Linked DNA regions of Drosophila melanogaster. The protein of the gene in region 4 purifies or fractionates together with the protein of the main gene of each other region. This does not show direct contact. Each region holds a gene or a part of one and is shown on either strand. Other genes may lie near its edges. The genes, in order: Mi-2, HP1b, phol and Sfmbt.

Region 1 (4,552 bases), on a different chromosome or scaffold from region 4:
GGACTCGAACGATGCGCGTCAAATGTCAAAATCAAGAAGAACAACAAAAACCATTATCGAAGCGACCTAGTGTTGTTCTACTTGAGAGAGCGTTTTTTGAATAAAAATGAACGTATTTGAAAGCTAAAATAATATTTACTTTTCCTATTTATGTTTCATAGTTTTGTGGACTTTAAGCGCAAGTAAACTTTTTCGAAATGCCAGCACACACATACCATTTACCAATTATACAAGCATATATATTTATAAAGATATGTATATGTATATACATGGCGGATATAAAAAAGCACCACTTGTTGTTGACTTGATTGAATGCAGTGCGTGCGAGCGGGATGGCAAGTTGTGTTTCGCCAAAGCAAGGTAAGATCGTCACCAATACACCAGTAACTGCAGCTCACATACACACACAGTATACTTTCACTTCTTGTATTGAATTTTTGATTTTATTTGTGCTGGCGCCATGTTGTTGTTGTTAGACATGGGGTTTTAAGCAGATTTATGCAGTCGGCAACAGCGAAGCTTTTGATAAAAAAATGACAAGAATGCTCAGATTAACAACGAAAAAATCAAATTATTTGGATCTTTTGAAGATACAAAGTTGCGGTAATGAATGTCATTATTATTAATACATTTGATCGATATGTGCTTTAATTGCATGAAACATTGAAACGGTGTCAAATGCCATTGCGTATTTCTTGCTGTGTACGTAGGAAAAATGCATACGTCATTGCCGAAACCTTCTTATCCCTCTCACACCCTTTTATTGTTGCATTACTGCATAAATAGTGGCACTCATACATGTGCATCGTTTTAGCCTTTTGTAATTTATGCGATGTCGCATTACTCTTGATTGTTTACTTGTGGTAGAGTAATCGGAAATCGGATGGCAATGTTAAAGTAAACAATTTTAAAGACAGCATAGCGCAGCAAATCATAAAAATTATCACAGAACCGGCAAATGGTGAAATTAGGAAGAAGAAAAATGGGGAAGAACCAACGTTGGCTGACGTCACAAACGTGAGGGAAAAGACAGAGCGAATTAAGCATCCTCCTATCGATGTATCGAAGGATAACGGCAGCGAATCCAATTAGAATGAGCACCGAAGGACGGGGAGGGGAACGTGTTAAAATTAGACATTGAATTCTACTCCCACGCTATTTCTCTAGGATAACTTCCTCACGCACGCACACCGTATACATATACATACACACGCCCACAGTGCAACAGCGTCGAACGGAGAAGCAGAAGAGAGGCGAATGAGGGCAGGGACAGAAGAGAGAAGAGGCCTGTAGACAGAAGAGGAACAGCTGCGAACGAATTAACATAAATTGTATGCAAAATTGGGGTGGCTATGGATACTGCTGCTTTTTGTTACACAGCGGCGGCATATTGTTTATCAGTTTTCCTATGAACTACTACTACATTCCAGCAATTTCCTCGCGAGACGGGCACCTTCCCATCCCATCCCTTGGCATCGTCTCTTTTCCACACTCTACTTTTCTCCTTCTTCATCTTACTTGTGTGTTGGCATATTTTGATTAACTCGTTAAAAAGACTATACTTTAGTTGTTTTGCAGGCACTTCGGTAGGATTGCATTGGTAGCTATATTTTTGTTGTTGTTTTTAACTAAATTTAATTTAAACGCGTCGGGTTTCTGTGAGTTTTTTTTTATCATATACGTTGGAGCGACAGAGACGGGGCGACGGCGACGTTTGGCTGGAGCGCGCGTGCATAACACGCACACACACAGAGACGCAAGTACGCGAGAGAGTGGAGAAATCAATCAAGAGAGCACGTCGGCGAAGGGGGAGTGGAAAAAATCACATATGTATGTGCGTCAGTGGAAGTGCGACAAGATTTTCCACAATATTCCACGCATCTTTGTTTCGTTTCTTTAGATATATGCACATATTGCTTCGTTTTCTTTTTGCATTGCTTTCTTACACAATTTATAATATATATATGCATATTTTGTGGTAATTTCAGGTTTTTATTTTTTGCACACACTTTTCATCATTCTTTTTTCGCTTTTCCTTCAGTTGGATATATTACGCACTGGATTTGTGGCTTTACACTGGCAATCGGTAGGCGGTGGCGAGTAATGCACGTATTCCCCTTAATTAACAGTTTTCTCTACAATTAATAATGTAATCTCTTTAACAAAAACTCAGAAATCACGTCATGGCTGCCACGTCCAAGCAACAATGAATGTAAATGGTGGCAGATGAGGCCGTCTGGGCATTCTCGACTAGCTCCAAAAGGGGCACACTATTTTTCTGGTGATACCATTGCACAGCCGATGATAACACTGCATATACGGTAACACCACAATAAGTGTGAACTAAAATGAATTTTCCGTATATTACAATTGACACTTGACAATTCACAGGTAAAGTAAACATCTTAATTGCTAAAGAACTTAAGATAAAACTTAATTTTAAAGGATTTACAGAGTATTCCACTCAAAACTTTCGACCAAAACAACCATGTAAAACATATGTTTTGATGAGTGAGCAGGACGTCTATATATTGCCTGCATTCGCGAATGGAGGGAACACAAAAATGCAATAAAAAATATGTGTGGAATGGAGGAGGCGCAAAAGACCCCAAAAAAACGCGCCACACATGTACAAATTTCACCAATTGCTGTAATACAAATAGTTTATAACGAGGTACAGCAATGACAATGACCAATTAGGATAATAGGCAACAATAAACAATGGGAGGGGGACGCAGCACGCTGCGCGGCTTTGCGGCTCTTGAACATGACCACGGTTCTTAGCCTGACCGAGCGACGGTCGGACCGAGTTTTTTTCACGCCGACATTTGGCCGACTGAAACAATGCACTTACCCTGGAAATTATCGTCATTCTCTTCCTCCGATGCCATTGTAGCACTCGAATGCAACTTTTACACTGTTTGAGCACACGAAATTGTCTTAATTTCCACAACAAATAATTAAGCACACACAGACACGACGAGAAAAAAATAGTCAATTGTAAGCGGCTTCAACAAATATGGCGGAGCGGAGAGCGACAAAAAGTGAGAGAACTAGGGTTGCACCCCGATAAAAGAAAGCGAAACGGTCACACTGGCGACATGACAACCCTGACTTTTATGTTTTTTTAACGACCCTGTCCTAACGTGTTTCGGAGAATTTTTCACCAAAGACCAAAAACCTTGTGTATTGTTTTTGAATTGCAAATCGCTGATTTAAGCTCAAGGAATGTGCCAAGCAGTTGGTAAATAACATTTACTTTTTAGTCCGACCCATTTAATTGCGAATTATGTCGTCCATTATCACGCGCAAGGATGGCGACGACCAGAAATTGTCCAAAAAGCGCGCTGCCGCCTCAGATTCCAAAAGTGGTGGTGGAAGCGCCCTTGAAGCGCCCAAGAAATCCCGCTTCGATGTCCCGGAAAAGAATGGCGGCGGTGGTGAGAAGAAAGAAGAGGTCGCCGTGCCCGCCTCGCTGAGTTCCACGCAGATCAAGCTGATGATGGCCCATGCCCAGCGGGAGATCGAGGAACGCAAGCGGGCCCTGAGTAATCTAAGAGACAAGGATCCGCTGCTGGCGTCAGTTCCATCGATCGGAATGCCAGTTGCCTTAGCCACTCAAGCGCTGGCGAAGAAGCCCACGCCCGAGGACTCGGAGAAGGCCAGGAAGATTGCCGAGTTGCAGGCACAGATCAGGGCCAAGCTTACTGGCAATTTGGCTAGTTTGATTCAGCCCACTGCGGTAGCGGCCGCCGCTGCAGCTGCTGCTCAAGCGCAGGAGCGACCCAAACCCCTGATTCTGGACGATGAAGGACGCACTGTGGACAAGAGCGGACGTACCATTAATATTCCCACGGTGACACCTACATTGAAAGCCAACATACGCGCCAAGAAACGGGAGGTGTTCCAACGCCAAACGGGTTTGGGTGAACGGAGTGAATCGGGCACTTCGGCCCAGGAAGAAGCTATTAAGTACTTTGACGACCGCATAGCCCTGAAGCCCACTGTTAGAACCAAGAGGACGTTGAGATTCCACGAGCCCGGAAAGTTCCAGCAGCTGGCCGAACGAATGCGCATGAAAAGCCAGCTGGAGCGACTACAGAATGAGATTTCGCAAATAGCCCGGAAAACGGGCATCTCGTCGGCCACCAAACTGGCATTGATTGCCCCCAAGCAGGACATGCCGGACGATGTGCCTGCCATGGAGTGGTGGGACTCAGTTATACTGACCCAGGATCTGGAGACGGTAGACGACGCAAGCGGTAAGATAAGCATACGCCAAACAGCCATAACCAACCTTATAGAGCATCCCACACAAATGAAGCCGCCAAGTAAGTTGAAAGCTAGAACATGTCCCACAAGCAACTAACCACCTACTCCTTCAGATGAGCCCTTGAAACCAGTGTATCTGCCGGTTTTCCTCACAAAGAAAGAGCGCAAAAAGCTTCGTCGCCAGAACCGTCGCGAGGCCTGGAAGGAGGAGCAGGAGAAGATCCGACTGGGTTTGGTGGCCCCACCAGAGCCGAAACTGCGCATATCCAACCTGATGCGT
Region 2 (3,932 bases), on a different chromosome or scaffold from region 4:
GACCACCTCACCTATCCACATGATTGGGATAAGCCCACTGGCAGTTTATTTGGTGATTCTTGGCAATTTCGGAGGCAGACGCTCACCCTTTTCCGTTCCGTAGGCAATTAGATCCATCTTGTTGTTCCACTCCATACGCTCCACAATGCAGGACATGTTGCGGGCGCCCAGCAACTTCATGGAGCTCGTTTGTGCCATCTTTCCACGCTAGAATTGGCTCGCGGCGTCTCTACTGTGCATCAAATATTTCAATATAATAATTTTAGTTTACACTTTGCCGGCTCCTGTTGCAGTCTATCGAATAATATTCCTGCTATCGATCAGAGATGAGCGGAAATAGTAGCTATTACAAATTGGTTTCTCCAATTCTTCAGTCATTTTTGACATTTTATTTGATTTTTGTCAAATGTTTAAACAAAATATTTGTATTAAAACTTCGGGACAGCGAGAAAGAATGTGTATTTATGATTGAAACTTCTTAGATATTTGTACTTATGCACGGCATGGCAAATTATCTGCCAGCACAATTTTGTTTTATTCGTACTTTACTTTAGTCTTACAAACCTACATAGTTTTAAAAGCTTTTGTTTGGAACACATAATGATTTGCGAAACAATGAAAAAATCGGGAAAATCTAAATTAATCGATCTTAATAACTGCCTGTTAGGAAAAAATCTCAAATTCTGGCTATAAAGGCGCTAGGTGGGCAGCACAATTGGCGTCTTTTGATTTCCACACAAAAATATTGGCAATTTCAATGTGTTTTTTTTTAACTTAAAGTGTTAGAAAGCTGGATAGTTGTTAAGATAGAAAGGTGGTCCTTCAGTCTGAGTCGTTCCTCATTGATCAGGTTAAGCGTAGTTTAGGCCAATTGTATTTAACACTGTGATGTTATATGCTTATAAAACATTTATGTGGGTCAAAAATAAAGGTAGATGTTAAAAACAATTTTACAATTGAACTTATAGATTAAGTATGTATATATATGTATATGTATATATGTATATGTATATACTACCGCTGACTGACGCCAGAACTTCAGTTTGTCCAATTTTTTTATCTTAAGGGCTACGCTACGAAATATGTATGTACATATATCGTATAAAGCCGGTGTGTATGTATCCACATAAGCGAGTGAATCCGAAACAGTCATCTGTATCTGCCACTCAACTAGTCATCCGCATCCGGCTGTCCGTTGTCCAGCTCACTACTCTCGTCCGGCTTGATATTCTCGTCTTGATTGATGCTGCCAATGGGGCTGGCCGGTTCGGGATCCTCCTCGTCACCGCCATCTATATTGCTGCCGCCACCGGTGGTGCCAACGCTGCCGGGAGCAGTATCATCGCCGGCCCCACTGCCGCCGACGGAGCCCAGGCCACCGGATGATCCCAAATTGACGGAATTCGTATTCCCATTACCATTGCCGCTGCCCGTGTGCCAGGTGAGGCGCTCCTCATAGAACTGTATGACCACCTGGGGGCATCGAGTGTTGGCCAGCTTGGCGGGCACAAGGTCGGCGTGATCGCTGCCCTTCCACTTCATGAGGAACATTAGGTGCCCGGATGAGTCGGTGGCGCCCAGTATTTTTGATGCCTCCAGACCGCGCTCAAAGCCGATCAGCTTCTTCTGCTCCTCGGTATCGTCCTCCAGGAAGCTCTTGCGCTTGCTGCGTATGGATTCGGGTGTGGAGGAGGTGGACAGGCGTTTCTTTGTCTCCTTCTTGTTGTTCTTCAGCGACTCCTCGAAGTTGGCTATCAGGTCTGGACAGTCGAGATTCTCCACCGGCTCCCAGGTGTTTTCGCTGCGCGGATAGCCCTTCCACTTTAGATAGTATTCCGTTCGTCCGTTCACCGTTCGCTTGTCCTCGACGCGTTCCACTGAGAATTCGGCCATTGTGCTTTTACGCTAATTGTGTTATTCCAACTGCGAATTTTGTTATTTTCTTGGCGTCCAAAACTTATTTATACGTGCGATTAAAGAGATTGAAGAAGAAGAAGAAATCAAGATGGCAACTCCATGGTCTCGCCATCGGCAACTATCGCTCTCTTGGCCAGTAAACGCATTTTAATTAAAAAGCTGAAACTTTAAAAACTTTACAATTGTAATTTTATCATTATCTCTTGACCATTTTTAAATTTTGACATATATATATATTTTTTTTAAATTACCCTTTCTACCATCCCTGTCAGCGATAACTCTCCAGAAATTGGACAATCGATAAACGGCCGTTGCGTTGCACGTGCGCTAGTTTTTAAAGAAATAAACAATATTACTAAGTACGATTAAGGAGAAAACTAAGCAAATATGGCCGAGTTCATAGCTGAGATGCAGGAGCGCCTGCTGCCGGAATACGAGCAGATGAAGAACTACAGCGTATTCACAGCGGATCAGGTCAGGTGAGAAATCCAAACGAATTTGGAGTCTGTGCCCCCATTTCATCCATATTCTTGCAGAGAAATCGTTAGCAGGCGGGAACGCTTGTTCCTTAAGATCAACAAGAGCCACCAGAGCATCACCGACTACCTGGACTTCATACTGTACGAGAAGCACATGCACATGACCATCGTGGACAAGGAAAAGAAGATGCACGTTAAACTCACCGGTCTAAAGGCCTCCATAGCCACGCGGATCATGCGCCTGTACAGAGAGGCCTTGGCTAAGTTTAACCACGACAGACGGCTGTGGAGCAACTGGATCAAGTTCAGCAGGAAGTCAAATCCTGTCGAGGTGGCGGGCATATACGAGAAGATGCTGCTGGTTAGTATTTGCCAGCCTGCTCACTTCCATTGATTACTTATCCATTGTTGTTATTCTTTTGCAGTACCATGGCGACTCGCCGGATCTTTGGGTGGACGCCGCCTTATGGCTGTACGAGTTCAATCGGCTCAACATCGATCGAGTCAAGGACATCCTGCTGCGTGGCTTGCAGAGACATCCGGATTCCGAGGCACTTAACAAGTGCTTCTTTGACATTATGCTGAAAGAGGCTGCCCTGGCCAGCAACGAACGCAATTTAGCCGAGAATACGCTCTCGGAACAGGACATCAAATTGGAACGCGTGGAGGCGGTCTACCGCAACAGCATGGCCAATATTACCCAATTGGACTACTTTGTTAAGCTTCTAGAAAGCTGTGAGGATCATCAGGAGCTGACGGGCAAGCTGCAGCGAATGATAATCGATGATATGCAAGAGAAGTTCCCCCGGGAGCCGGGCCTGTGGGATTTGCTTGCCCAGCGAGAGTTGCGCGGCTTTCATCTGGGCGACCTGGAGGAGGAGGACTTGGATACCAGTGACGAAGAGCCGGCCAGCAAGAAATCTCGTTCCGTAAATGGCCGCTCTCTCAAGCGACGCATTCAACTCTGCGTTACTGTATACAAATCGGCGGTGGAGGAGCTGCAAACGACAGAAATGTGGAATATGTATTTGGATGCCATGCTGGCACTCAATAGCGATGGAAAGACGGAGCGTATACTAAAGCAACAGTGCCTAGCGGATGCCTTGCAGGCGGGCCATCGCTCTCAGTTGATGGGCGTGAAACACTATGCCACATTAAGAAAGATGCTCTGCACTGCTCCGAGTGGAAGGGAGGCAGCTGTCACCATACTCACGGAAGCCCTGAAAAACGATTCATCGGTGGAGATGCACGAGCTTCTTCTGGCCACGCACATTCAAAGCGACAGTGAGCCCTTGATCTATGAGCTATTCAACAAGATCCAGAAGAGCATGGGCAGTGAGGCGTTGCCGCTGTGGCGCAGTGTCATTCTGTATTATCGCACTCGGCAGGATAGCTTGGGCGCACGCCGGCTGGATGAGATCTACGGTCTCGCCTGCAAGGCTGCGTGGCCGGAATTTGGTGAGCTGCGCTCCGATTATTTGCGCTATCTGTGGCAGGAGCGGTCTGTCGAGGAAGCACGCAAGGAGTACGCCAAGC
Region 3 (5,894 bases), on a different chromosome or scaffold from region 4:
GTTATTATTGCTCTCGGTTCATTGCAGACGTCATTTTCATGGTACTCTTCTGCGTTTTCTGGTACTTCAACTACTCCGTGCTGCTCTCGCTGGCCGGATTGATTGGCCCAACAAGTGCCTCCATCGCGGATATTATTCCCGGAGTTCAAGGACATGGGCTCAAGGTCACCTAAAATACCGATCAGACCATGCCCAGACCAATCGTGTGTACTGTTCTCCGTTCCAATATCCAAAATAGCCGCGTATCTGTACCTCGCCGCGATGCTTTATCTAATCCGCACGCGTTTATACACCGCAATCAATGAATGGAACGTAGCTGTAGGCGACACATGTCCAAAGAGGCGATCTAATCGCTTGCTGATCCGAATCTGAAGTGGACAACACCCGGCGACTGTCCATCAATAGCTGCCTCACCGTTTAATGTAGTTATCTAGCAGTAGTTACAAGTTTAAAGTCAGTTAATAAATCTAACGCTTACACAATCGCACTGTGAAATAGTTAAAAAAAGAAATGATAAATGATATACGCAAGTGTTGTTGCATTGTTTTCCTGGTTTATTTTTGTTTAATTTTGAAGAGGTATTTCCCTTGTTTATTCCGACTTAACTGATGTGCTTCCATTTGTGAATTATTGTTAGCGCCAACAGACGTTGAACATGCTAAATCCGTACTTCAATGCTCTAAGTGTTATAATTCATTACAAAAATATATAGATAGCCTATGGTGTATGCGTATTGAATATGGTAAAACTAGTTTTGTGTATTTTTCTTATTTTTTTGTTTGTTTTGTTTTCGTAGAAAAGAAAGTGCGCGTTTTGTTATTCGAGCGAAGATCGCACACGATTAGTATCAGATCAAATTGGGGCTTTTTAAGGTGACAGTTTGGCTGAGTTCTTCGGGGATTACGGTTCAGTTTTGGTTTTGCGGGGGGACTCACTTAGCCTACGGTACAAGCTAAACTCTTAGAACTGCTCTTCATCCGTGAAGGAAATTAATTAATGGCTACCATCTAACTTCCTTTTGCACTGCAATCCTATTTTGTTAGAGAATGAACTTACACTACTTACTTAAAGGGCGGGCAGCGGGCGGATGTGTTCACCAGGTGACAATCTTGTCCGGCCGCTCCGCTCGTTACAGGTTACAGATACAGATAAAAACTGGCTACAACTAACTGTACAATAATGCCTTCCGGAGCCAAAGGAGCTTTAATATTTTAACCATCTCATGCCAATACCTGCCACACATTAAAGCGCACTACTAGTTAGGATGTTAGGGACGTGCCATCCAGCAGCACCGACGCCACCTCCTCGTTCTGTTCTACGTACACTAGACGAGGATCCTCGCCAAACTCCAGTCGCCCGTATCTGGCCACCAGCGGTGTCTTGTTGTTGCTCACTTGCGGTGCGCGCGGCCACTTCCTTTTGGGCTTCGTGTGCGTCAGCATGTGGGACTTGAGGTTCGTTGACTGGGCGAAGCACTTGGAGCAGCCATCAATGGGACAGTGGTAGGGCCTATCGCCAGTGTGTATCCGTACGTGGGTGCGCAGATTGAAGTCCAGCGAGAAGCGCTTGCCGCACCCCTCAAAGGTGCACTCAAAGGGCTTCTCGCCGGTGTGCACCAGCTGGTGGCGCTTTAGCTTGGAGCTCTCTACAAAGCTCTTGCCGCAGACGTTGCACACATGACCGCGCGGTCCGTGCGTGTGCATGTGCTTGCGCATGGCCGAGTGGTTGCGAAACTCCTTGTTGCAGCCGCGATGGGTGCAGCGAAACTTTGGCTCCTCATCCTCTTCGCCGGCCGCGCCAGCTGCTCCCATGGCATTACCAGCCGTCTGATTGGCCACTGCAGTCGGTAATTTGGTTACAATTGTGGGTCGTTGGGGTCGGGCTGGATTGCTGGAAGCCACTAGTGGCGGTGGGGGATTTGGTGTCGCCACCTGAGCCGCCGCCGTGAGTTGCCTCTTTGTCACCTTTGACTGATTTCCCGCACTTTTCAGTCGCACATTGGTGCTGCTGTTCTGGAGCACTAGTTTTGGGAGAGCCGGCTGTGGATTCGGTACACATCCGTTGACCTTCGATAGCGCTACCGACACAGTGGCTGGACCTGGTCCCGGTGTCTGTATCAGCTCCACATTATTCGGCATGTTCTCGATAAGCTCGATGTTACCATAAGCTTCTTCCAACTGGTTTTCCGCATAGATCAACTGTTCACTTAGCGGCTGGCTGTCCTCCTCGCCTTTGACATCGCCCATAAATGCATTAACCACCTCCTCCACATCCGTGACCGCAGAGGCGCTGAATGGATCGGGTAGGATGACGTACTCGTTGCCGATGCCATCGCTTAAAACATCGTGGTTGATCATGTGCTCGTCAATAATAAGCTTTGGCATGCTGGGTGATCCTTCATTCTGGGCGGCGGAGGAGGACGTCACGGATGTGGTGCCAGCACAACCAGGTGGTTCCTCCAACTCCTCCTCCTCGTCCTCATCCTCCGAGTTGAGCGAGGACCAAAGGGTGACATTGAACTCATCCTGCGTTATGCGTATGGGTACCTTTGTTTGCTTCCAGCGCTTGGCCGCTGAATTTCCCATGGGCCTCTCGACGCGACTGCTTCCAAATAGCTTAAAATCCTGCAGCTGGCCATTCGAACTGTTTGAATCCTCGGTCGCCTTCATATAGAAGTCGCTCTCGAGCTGCTCCTCCTTGATGTTTGTGGCCTCGATGGTGGTTAGCATCTCGGAGGCAATCTCGAAGGCATTTGTCGTAGCCGGCGCGGTAGCCTCATCATCCTCATCGCCATCGCCATCGCAGGAGGATGTCATCTGCTGTCCATCCTCCTCGATGAATTCCTCATCGTCGCTGGTCTGCTGCATGATGATCGGCGGCGGCAGTGCATCTGCCGTAGCCACCGTGACCGAGGTAAGTCTGTCCAGCCGATCCACCGGATAGTATTCATAGTGCTCAAAGAATTCGCCTGAGTCTACGACGATATTAGCCTCATCATCATAGTCGTCGATGATCTCCTCGATCAGGAAGCTCTCGCTTTCCTCGCCCATCGGATCGCCCGCCAAAACGGTGTACGGATCTTGCTCGACTATGGTAGCCGCCGTAGGCTGGTGTGCATGAGTGAAGTATGCCGACGACGGGGCGGAGTGCAGGGGCAACGGTACCGCCGCAGCGGCCAGCGATAGATTCTTCACGATGGGCGCTCGTATCTGATGCAGTTGAGGCTGGAAGTTCCCTCCGACGCCGACGTGATGATGATGACTTGTCATCGCGGCTGCTCCGTCTGCCTGTCTGTGTGCCTGTATCTGTATGCTTGTATTTGTGGGCGCTCTTGCTTCGTGCGTGAGTGTTAGTGTTGTGTGTGCGAGCGCGCTGCGGAAAAAGTGGGCAATTAGTATCTGGCCAAAAATCCGTATTATGTATATATCTCTATATATTCGCCAGACTTCCAAAGTGGACAAACGTACGTGTTTTCGTCGGTATTGCTGCACTGAACTGGCCTTTCCCTCCACCTCTTTTTCCACTTTTTTGTGGCCAATGCCTATCGTTTATTGTGCGACGGCGGCGGCAGACGGCGAATGATGCGTACCGCTCGCTCCGCTCCGCCCGCCACTCTCCTGCTGCCCAATGGCGGGTTAATTCTCGCTTTGGATGACCACCTCGATCCCGCTCACCTCGGGCAGTGTAAATATTTTGAATTTTGCCGGTTAATATGGCGGAATTGTATTTTCCAGAAACGGCTCGGTACTTTCTCTCGCGTTGCGTGTGTGGGGTGTGTGTGTGTGTAGTGTGCAGCGACAGGCGCCACAATGCAACCCTGCGCGCGCTTTGTGTATATCTTAAGCGGTTTATTCAGCGGAGATTGGTTATTCTCTTCGCATTACTTCGCAAAACAGCACAAATGTAATCTTAACTACTATTCAAAAATTGCATTTTATTAACCTCCAACTGGCAAACCATTTATTAGCTGTAAATACCGCGGCGTTCTGTCTTTCGATAAGCGATAGGTTTGTTGTTCTGCCACCAGGGTTGCCACCCGACAAGAAAACAAATGCGCAATAACAATAAATTAATCTCCATGGCTTTACTATTATTTCGAGCTATTTACAATTGTTGCTCATAAATAACTAGTTAAATTTCTTTAGCAATAGAACTTCTGGAATATAAATACGCTTCAGCTTCGACTCCACAAAGCGCTCGTGTTGGGGTGTAAATACCTCTGCATTGTGGTTAAAATCAGTCTTATTAAATTGCACCGCCTTCCTATCCGCTGTTAAGGATATATTATAATGCCGACATTGGTCCTGCAATCCTGTTGGCCCATCGAACAACAGTAAACGCAACAAGTAAGGAACCGGCACCGTAAGCTGTTTGTTGTTGTAGGCATGCGTGAAAATCTGCAACAAACTCCTGCAAATATACATACATACATATGTATTTACATTAAAAATGCATCATGTCAATAAGAGATCCAATAGAAAAAGTTATACTGTACCTCCTTATCACCTGCAACTTGGCGGCAGCTACCGCGCACAGAATATGCGGCAATTGTGGCACACCCATGAGCACTCTATACAAATTGCCCTGTTGGAAGGCCAAACAGATCCCAAAACAAAGCTTAAACGTCGCATCCCGACGCACATAGTCCGGTAAGGTGAGGGCGCGTGTAAAGGACTCGGGAGAACCCAGATTAAACAATTGATACAGGCTCTCTATGAAGCAGCGCCGCTCAAGCTCACGAACGGTGGGTTCTCTAGATGATTCCAAGTCCTCCAGTTCTTCGTAACAGCAAAGCACTCCCGTGAGGCACTCTTGCAAATGCTGATTGCATATCTTGAGATCGAACTTCTCGATGGGCTCCTCACACAAGCGATAGCGACTATATGCCAGAAACATCACAATGGGCTCTAACAGGCAAATCTTCTGACTGGCATCGTACATCTGGATCACGATCTCCCGACGCACCGCCCTCAATCGATCGAATATGAAGTCGTAAGCCACATTGTACGGCTTTCGTGTGTCCAGGATTATGCTGCACAGTATATTAATTATCAGATTTAACTTGGCTAACTAAGCGCCTAATATACTTGCTCCTTGAGCAGATATTCCACTGTTTTGGTCAATGCCGCTTCTGTGCGCATTTCCTTGGGCATGGGCATCTTGACATCGGCGGCGGAGCGTGTAAACTCCTTGACCAGGACTCCTGGCTTGTTCTTCTGGCCATTTTTTAGCTCGAAATAGTGCAAAAGCTTCTCGCGAATACGCCTGAATGTATTAAACGGTGTTATTATATTAAATTCGGGTTTAAATTTCGTTTACCTACATTTTCGCCTCCCCATCGGGACAGAAACTTTCGCAAGATCCTCGAACTTGGGCCATTTGTTGATGAATGCAGCCAATTTCAGCAGCAAACAAACCAGGGATGCAGGTCTTTTGGATCAAAGGCGTAGCTCAAATTTTTTAATGGGGTTCAGAAAATAAAATATGCTTCTTAAATCTCGTACGCCAGCTTCTAACTAATAAAATTCCGAAATTGGGACTTTATTAGGATCCATATTTATAAAAACGAACGCGCTGACTCGTTTTTTTTTTTAACCCTCTTGCCACGCCGCTGAAGTCAGCAATCAGCTGTCTGGGCGGTCTGGGTTGTCAGGTTGTCTGGGCCTTAAAATTGTACTAAATTTTCAGTTTGTTTTTCCCTGCCCAGCACAAAACGAAATGTTTTCGCGGCATTTCGCAGCCTTCTTTCGATTCAACCGATATGTTGCCCAAAAATACAGCAGTTTTATAGCCGCCGGCTTTAGCAACAGGTTTTCGCTGAAGGTTGCAACTCTGCTGCCGCTGGTAGTCCTCCGATCCGCGGATTGCAGGCAAAAAGAGGACCAGGAGGTAAA
Region 4 (7,611 bases):
TTCCAGCAGAGCGCATCTTTCGTTTAGCTGGTTGACATGCTCTTCCAGCGCAGCTTGCTGTTGGCTGTTAGCCAAGCAATTGGCAGAGGAGGAGGACTTGCTCCACTGCGAGGAGGTGTCGCTTCGGTCTTCATAGAGCTCTGACTCTCCAACATGCGCGCCAATGTCTGGCAAGGGCGTCTTGAGAAACTCCAGCTCGGGTTCAATGGGGTCGAAGGGACCCAAGTTGACTTCTTCCTGTGGCTGGGCTAACTCCTGTTCGATGGATTCCTTGGAGAGTATTTGCTGAACCTCCACCGACTCGATGGGCTTTAGAGCACCAAGTAAATCCTCTGTGGAGCTAACGCACTCAATGGGTCGTTCCACCGCAATACCAGGTCTTTTTTGGCGTCCCACCACCGGCACTGGACTGGTGGTGAATATAATTGGTTCCTCTTTGACGGCAACACTTGGCGTCGATCTCCTGGGTGCATTAAGCTCAGTGGTGTCCACATTGAGGGCGAACAGTACATCACTGAGGGAGTCTACGATCTCTGGCAGCTTCTTGGCCGCCTCATCGTTGAGTAGCAGGGACCAAGGTGTGTAAAATCGATGCAGCTGCTCCTCGTCGCTCAGCCAGGTGAGCACATGGCTATGCAGTCGCTTCTCGTTCAGTGTGGCGCGTATGAAGGCACGTCCTCTGCCCACATTCGTCCAGATCTGCTTAAGGTCCATATACCTCTGACGTTCGTGGGGCGTCAAATGCGTCTGGCAGAATTCCCAGAAAGTGGCGTCATTGTTGTTGCTGCCTCCGCCCGCATTTCCGGACACCATCTCCTGCATGTTCTGGATGAAGCTGGCGGCGCTGAAGGAGGAAGTGCCTGCCGATTGCCTAAGTCCGTAGGACATTAGTTCCTCGAGGGATTCGCACAGTTCCTGAACAGATTCATCCCGCTCAGTGGCAAGTTCTTTGCCACTGAACTTCTGTGAGATTTTATGCGCACTTTCCTGTAGACGTCGAAAGATGTCCTCGCGCCGTTGGCCAAAGGTGCTGCCCGCCAGTTGGCTGCGCATGCTCCGGAAGCCTGCCTCTGTGGGCATCGAGCTGGATGCATTTTCTGGCATTATTTGTGGCTATTATTCAACTAATTATATTTTCTACTCATTTTTCTCACTCCGTTGTGTGCCAACACTGGTTGCTTGACAACAAAACAAGCCAAACAGTGTTGATAAGCGTTGGAATGGGCGCATTCAGATCACCGATTAATGATTTTAAGTGACTGTGACTCAGCATTAGGTGATTTATTAAAATAAAAAAATTGTTTGTAAATAATTTATGGTACCTAAAAAACTTATAAAACTATAGGTTGCGTTATCAAAACAAACCAATTATAACTGAAAGCGCTTAATTTCTCCAATTCATATTGGTAAGGTACAACGATTTCGATTAAAATTGTGTTTTTACTGAGATAAGCAGTATTGTACACTTATCGATAACAATCACTCTGCATTATTTCTCGCTGAACGCGACCACTTGTGCATCCCTGGTGATTTAGCGGGCAAAATAATGCCAAAACGCTGTTGTGCGACTGTGTAGCCCTGGCGTATAATTGCCATCCCTGCTCGCGCAAATGCGAAAGAAGTTAGCACACAAAAATCTGTTAAAAACTATTGTTAAACGATTGAAGATCCAATAATATGTCATACCGCAAGTGCTAGCAACTGGGGAAACCCAATCCGAACGCGTCCAACGTGCAAAAGTGTAAGTTTGCATCCAGGGGCAGCAACGTCGTAAATTTTCTTTTCTGTTCGCGTTGGCTGTCTGCGCAAACGCTTCATTGACTTTTCGAGATTGAACCCATGAAATGTAACCAAAAATTCTGATAAATCGGATATATGCTCGAACCTTATTCAGTTGTGTGAAACTCCACGCGGCGGCTGAAATTCCGACCGTTACGACAGGCTTCAATCGCATTTCCGTACGCTTCCCTCACCGCGCAGCATCTGCGTGCAGAAAAGGCAAAAGTAGAATGAAAAAAAAAGGAAAACGGGAACAGAAGGAGGCAAACAAAACGAACAACGAGGAACACTGGGATTCGGTCAGGATTTACAGCCCATATGGCCGGAACATTCGCCGGTTCCAGGAGCTATTCGTAACCAAACAAACTGGGAGCATTCTATGTTGCATTGTCCATAAAATTGCAGCAAGATTAGCAATCAGCGTCAAATAGATACGGAGATTTCTAAATATGAACATAATATTCTTTTAAAAATTCGAATTAGCAGGCAGCTTAAAAAGTACTAAGTAAATAACTACGTAGTTTTTAGATAGGAATAAATAGGGATTTACTTTTTAAATTCGCCCCATCTTGACCAATTTTTATTATTTCAAAACACTAAACTATTTCAATGTTTGTTTTCAGTCAATGCGAGTTCGAAAAACAAAGGAACGCGACACGCAGCAGTAGAAAGCAATACTTTTTGAAGAGAACCCAGAAAGCTGTCCCATAAATGCTTTTGCCATACTGACCAATCCGGAATCGATAGCACCATTGGCTTAAAATGAACCCATCCGAGCTGCGCATGATGTGGATGAGTAGTCAGTACAACTCGGAGCGCATTACACTGGAGGATGCGGCCACTCTGCTGGGTCATCCCACTGTTGGACTCTCTGTCATGGAGGACCTCTCCGCCCATCAGCCAACTTTGGTGAGTGCAGACGGTTTGATTCAGAAGCCAATCTCTCAATTCGAAGACTAATAAATATAAAATGCTTTCAAATGAGCATCGCGAAAACGAGATACGTGTCTATCACTAAGGCACCCCATTATATTTGATAGTCCTCGGAGTCGAAAACAAACCCAAATTCTTTAGGTTTCAACGTGTACTCCTTGGGGATTGGCCAAATTTCCAAACTATCTTTTTTGTCTGTCTCAGTTATAAACAATTGGAATTTGTTTACTTATTTCTTCTACTTTCTTTTCTTTGATTTATATATTGGTTACAATTTAAATCTCGACACAAAAACACACATAACCAATGGTCGATCCTCAACCCGAACCACCTCCAATCTCCAAAACCCACAATGCTCAAAAAAAGGACATGAATCCGATGATGAGCCTAATGGGGGGAGATTTCACTGGTCAAGCGGCGGCGACTGCTGCGGCACTGGGTGTACAGCCGGGCACCCTGATTGCCACCAACTCGAACAACCTGTACGGATTTGCCCACATGGGCGGCCTGCAGCAGCAACTGCTCCAGCAGTCGGCGGCGGCGGCAGTCTTCCAGAACTATGCGGAGGCAATGGATAACGATGTGGAGAACGGCATGGTTGGCATGGCCATGGAGGCGGTCGTGGACGATGACGACCAAGTGTACGGTCAGAGGGACAATAACTTTGATGATAATGGATCCGAGTTGGAGCCCAAGCAAGAGATTATCAACATCGACGACTTTGTGATGATGAACGAGGACAATAATTCGTACGATGGCACCGACTTTATGACCTCCTCCGATAAGGACATTTCGCAGTCCTCCTCCTCCTGCATGGCACAGATGCCCGGAAGCTTGGGCGTCCCTGGAGTCGAGCACGATCTTTTGGTTCCACTGCCCGATGGCCTGCTGCACCACAAGCTGCTGGGCACAACTCTGGTCCCTGCGATGGGTACGCTAAATGGCAATGCCTTTGGCAACATAATGGTCAGCACTGAAAACACATCCAGCAAGCAAATGCAGCGCACCTATAGTACGGCCAAGGGAGCCAATTCCACCGCAACCACCGCCACCTGCAGTGCCTCCACGTCCTCCGCATTGCGATCACAGCGCAAGACGCGCAAGATCGAGCCCGTTAACAGGCCAGGACTGGTGCTGAAGACACCCATCGCCTACAGGGGCAACATTGACCCTTCGGTGATCCCCATACAGAAAGATGGCATGGGTAAGGTTGCTGTGCACTAGAGTGGGTCGATTCTTAATTAGAACATTGCGGGCAGAAAAGTAAACGATAAGTAACGATAAGTGGTAGAGATCTTAGTTGAGATCATATATTATTAAACATCATCAGTTTGATGTACATTGAACTTATCTAAAATTCCAAAAGCCTTTGCCTTGTATTTACAATCTTTCAAGGCTTGCTCTGTCTACTAGCTTATGTATTTGATAAAGTAAATAGTTATTTCTTTCTAAGTAATTAGTAATGATTCGTTTATTTAAACAATGAAAACCACCTGTAAATCTGCAATCGATCCACTCTACACGATATTAATTTTCAAGCTTTTTATTTTAAATCCTACTCTTAGTTTCACTTATCTTTATGGTTTTGGGTTTGTTTTGCAAGAATTTGGGTTTGTATACCATGATAGCATTTAAATTAAATACGAAATTAACGTTTACATTAATATGCACTTAAACGATTCGTTTTTTCTTCTTCTACAGCTGTCTGTAAACGTTGTGGCGCCATTGGAGTGAAGCACACATTCTACACAAAATCGCGACGTTTTTGCAGCATGGCCTGTGCCCGAGGCGAACTATATTCGTTGGTACTTAACACTAAGATGGAGGGAGACCAGGCAACCACTAGTTCCCCGGATCCTGGAGCGGGTTCGGAGTCAGCCGATTTGCCTGGCGATCAGCAACAGTCGCAGTCGGATATTGAGCTCGATCTGCATGCGGCGCACATTAAGAATGCGAATTATCGTTTTCGCATTACGGATCAATCAAAGATTACCCAGTTGAATAGCTTCGGCGAACCCATGTCAATGGGCGGCGACGCAGCTGCCAATAATGTACAAATGGCAGCAGATGAAACAATTGCTGCGTTAAACGGCGGAGCAGTGGGCGATGCCACTGCTCCGGGCAGCACCGAGGAGGGTGCATCCACACCCAATTCTTATCTGAGCGCAGCACCCACGCCCAAGGCCTTGCGACTTTTTAAGGACATCTACCCACAGGATGACCTGCCGCAAATACCCAAATACGAGCGCCTTCCCGTACCGTGTCCGCAAATGGAGAAGATAATCAGCATTCGGCGGCGCATGTATGATCCCACACACTCCTACGACTGGTTGCCCCGCCTTAGCAAGGAGAACTTCAATGCGGCACCCGTCACTTGTTTTCCTCATGCACCCGGTTGCGAGGTATGGGACAATTTGGGCGTGGGCATGAAGGTTGAAGTGGAAAATACGGATTGCGATAGCATCGAAGTGATCCAACCGGGTCAGACTCCTACCTCGTTTTGGGTGGCCACCATCCTGGAAATCAAAGGCTATAAGGCCTTAATGAGCTACGAGGGTTTCGATACGGACTCGCACGACTTCTGGGTGAACCTCTGCAATGCCGAGGTGCATTCGGTGGGTTGGTGCGCCACTCGGGGCAAGCCATTAATTCCGCCCCGCACCATCGAGCACAAGTACAAGGACTGGAAGGACTTTCTGGTGGGACGTTTATCCGGAGCCCGCACCCTTCCCTCCAACTTTTACAACAAAATCAACGACAGCCTCCAGTCGCGCTTCCGCCTTGGCCTGAATCTCGAGTGCGTGGACAAGGATCGCATTTCGCAGGTGCGCCTGGCCACCGTCACCAAAATCGTGGGAAAGCGCCTCTTCCTGCGCTACTTCGATTCCGACGACGGCTTTTGGTGTCACGAGGACTCGCCCATCATCCATCCAGTTGGCTGGGCAACCACAGTAGGCCATAATCTGGCTGCACCGCAGGACTATCTGGAGCGCATGTTAGGTAATAATATTTACTTTTTCTGCATACATGTTTTTACATTACCATTTTAACATTTTACATACCATTCCTACTTCCAGCTGGTCGCGAAGCCATGATTGAGGTTCATGAGGACGATGCCACAATCGAGTTGTTTAAGATGAACTTCACCTTCGACGAATACTACAGTGACGGCAAAACCAATAGCTTTGTGGAGGGCATGAAGCTGGAAGCGGTGGATCCACTCAACCTTTCATCCATATGCCCGGCTACAGTAATGGCGGTTCTTAAGTTCGGATACATGATGATACGCATTGATTCCTACCAACCGGATGCCTCAGGGTCGGATTGGTGAGCTTTAAAAGCTTCAATTTAAGTCGGCAAATCTAAATAGCTTCTGTTGTATTTTTTTTTAGGTTCTGTTACCATGAAAAGAGTCCGTGTATCTTTCCGGCTGGATTCTGTTCCGTCAACAACATTTCGGTTACCCCACCGAACGGCTACGACTCTCGTACATTCACCTGGGAGGGTTACCTCCGCGACACGGGAGCCGTAGCCGCTGGCCAGCATCTATTTCATCGGATTATTCCCGATCATGGATTTGAGGTGGGTATGAGTCTGGAGTGTGCAGATCTCATGGATCCCCGACTCGTTTGCGTGGCCACGGTGGCGCGAGTGGTTGGTCGACTACTCAAGGTTCACTTTGACGGATGGACGGATGAGTACGACCAGTGGTTGGATTGCGAATCAGCCGATATATATCCAGTCGGATGGTGTGTACTGGTCAACCATAAGCTAGAGGGCCCACCGAGAGTAGCACATCAGCAGGCCCCGAAACCGGCACCAAAGCCCAAAATACAGCGAAAGCGAAAGCCCAAAAAGGGAGCAGCGGGAGGCAAAACTCCAACCGATAATAATACTCAGTCGGGTAAGTTTTTTTTTTCTAATCAAAGTCATTCGAATTCCTGTATATCATCATGCATCTTCAAATGTTATTCCAGTCAAATCGCGTACAATTGCGCTCAAGACCACGCCGCACTTACCCAAGCTGAGCATCAAGCTGGAGCTAAAGCCGGAGCATCACAATGCTGCCTTTTACGAGAACAATCAGCCCGAGGAGGAAGGCGACGAGGAGGATCCCGATGCGGATGGCGATGGAGACGGAAGCACCAGCCACATCTCCGAGCAGTCAACGACACAGTCGTCCAGTGATCTGATCGCTGGATCGGGCAGTGGAAGTGGGTCCGCCTCGCTGGTAACTCTCGCCACGGGCAGTAACAAAACGGTAAAGAAATCTACTACTAAATCTCCTGCGCCACCAACTGTGGGTCGCAAAGCCACTAGCTACATTGCGGTGAGTACTTAGCGGAATAATAGTGCGTAGAGTCATCCATCTAGCCAGCCAGCCTGCTTGCCCGCCTGAAGTTCAGCTCACGCATCTAAACGGGAGGTCCAAAGAGCATAGTGGTTTTTGTTTTAAACATTAATTAAATTTTATTTAGAGGAATTCCCCTTTAATTTATTTGCCTTTTTTTTTCGAAATAGAAGCATCAGCTTATACACCAAAATACTCCATATTAATCCAAGTTTGCCTTGTTTAGCTTAAGTTTTTGTTATTTCATATGAAATAGATTGTCCGACCCAACTTAAACCACTGTGCTAAAGCTCCGTAACACAACTGCATAAATGTATATAACCAAAATCAAATCGTTCATAAAACGCCAATTTGTATATAATTTAATTTACGCACTGTTATTTTTGGTACTTGCAACAGCCCCAATAGCCCCAACACACCGACATCCAATCGTTCCGTCACACACCCAACCAGCAATGCAACATCATACGTTAACTAATTAAGTCCTTATTTTTTACCCCACTATAGAACTCCTCTGCGACGAATAATAAGTACATTCCGCGTCTGGC

The links.
Region 1: the proteins of Sfmbt (region 4) and Mi-2 purify together in Drosophila melanogaster (affinity purification with western blotting; one study listed by BioGRID). This does not show direct contact.
Region 2: the proteins of Sfmbt (region 4) and HP1b purify together in Drosophila melanogaster (affinity purification with western blotting; one study listed by BioGRID). This does not show direct contact.
Region 3: the proteins of Sfmbt (region 4) and phol purify together in Drosophila melanogaster (affinity purification with western blotting; one study listed by BioGRID). This does not show direct contact.

The regions. Positions count from the first base shown.
Region 1 is NT_037436.4:19,907,189-19,911,740, forward strand, and holds the start of Mi-2 (Mi-2), read right to left. Parts: upstream 3,028-4,552; 5' UTR 2,892-3,027; coding exon 2,855-2,891; exon of another isoform or gene 2,446-2,854; intron 2,392-2,445; exon of another isoform or gene 2,010-2,391; intron 1-2,009. Other genes in the region: Prp3 (precursor RNA processing 3), read left to right, coding at 3,290-4,331, 4,386-4,552. UniProt on the Drosophila melanogaster protein: ATP-dependent chromatin-remodeling factor which acts in nucleosome-remodeling by catalyzing ATP-dependent nucleosome mobilization. Involved in regulating transcription. Plays a vital role in development.
Region 2 is NC_004354.4:9,079,320-9,083,251, reverse strand, and holds HP1b (heterochromatin protein 1b), read right to left. Parts: upstream 1,999-3,932; 5' UTR 1,894-1,998; coding exon 1,171-1,893; 3' UTR 506-1,170; downstream 1-505. Other genes in the region: APC4 (anaphase promoting complex subunit 4), read right to left, coding at 1-11, 87-198; CG7246 (uncharacterized protein), read left to right, coding at 2,305-2,396, 2,454-2,757, 2,822-3,932.
Region 3 is NT_037436.4:9,452,271-9,458,164, forward strand, and holds phol (pleiohomeotic like), read right to left. Parts: upstream 4,012-5,894; 5' UTR 3,468-4,011; intron 3,373-3,467; 5' UTR 3,270-3,372; coding exon 1,260-3,269; 3' UTR 533-1,259; downstream 1-532. Other genes in the region: ghi (ghiberti), read left to right, coding at 28-173; CG3437 (uncharacterized protein), read right to left, coding at 4,128-4,410, 4,496-5,032, 5,092-5,265, 5,324-5,379; CG3552 (uncharacterized protein), read left to right, coding at 5,719-5,894.
Region 4 is NT_033779.5:13,170,744-13,178,354, reverse strand, and holds the start of Sfmbt (Scm-related gene containing four mbt domains), read left to right. Parts: upstream 1-1,598; 5' UTR 1,599-1,686; coding exon of another isoform or gene 1,687-1,818; exon of another isoform or gene 1,819-1,821; intron 1,822-1,885; exon of another isoform or gene 1,886-1,932; intron 1,933-1,972; exon of another isoform or gene 1,973-2,132; intron 2,133-2,402; 5' UTR 2,403-2,541; coding exon 2,542-2,688; intron 2,689-2,989; exon of another isoform or gene 2,990-3,078; coding exon 3,079-3,916; exon of another isoform or gene 3,917-4,128; intron 4,129-4,413; coding exon 4,414-5,712; intron 5,713-5,789; coding exon 5,790-6,039; intron 6,040-6,104; coding exon 6,105-6,616; intron 6,617-6,689; coding exon 6,690-7,042; intron 7,043-7,570; coding exon 7,571-7,611. Other genes in the region: CG5439 (uncharacterized protein), read right to left, coding at 1-1,104; CG43925 (uncharacterized protein), read right to left, coding at 1,467-1,598, 1,687-1,818. UniProt on the Drosophila melanogaster protein: Polycomb group (PcG) protein that binds to the Polycomb response elements (PREs) found in the regulatory regions of many genes.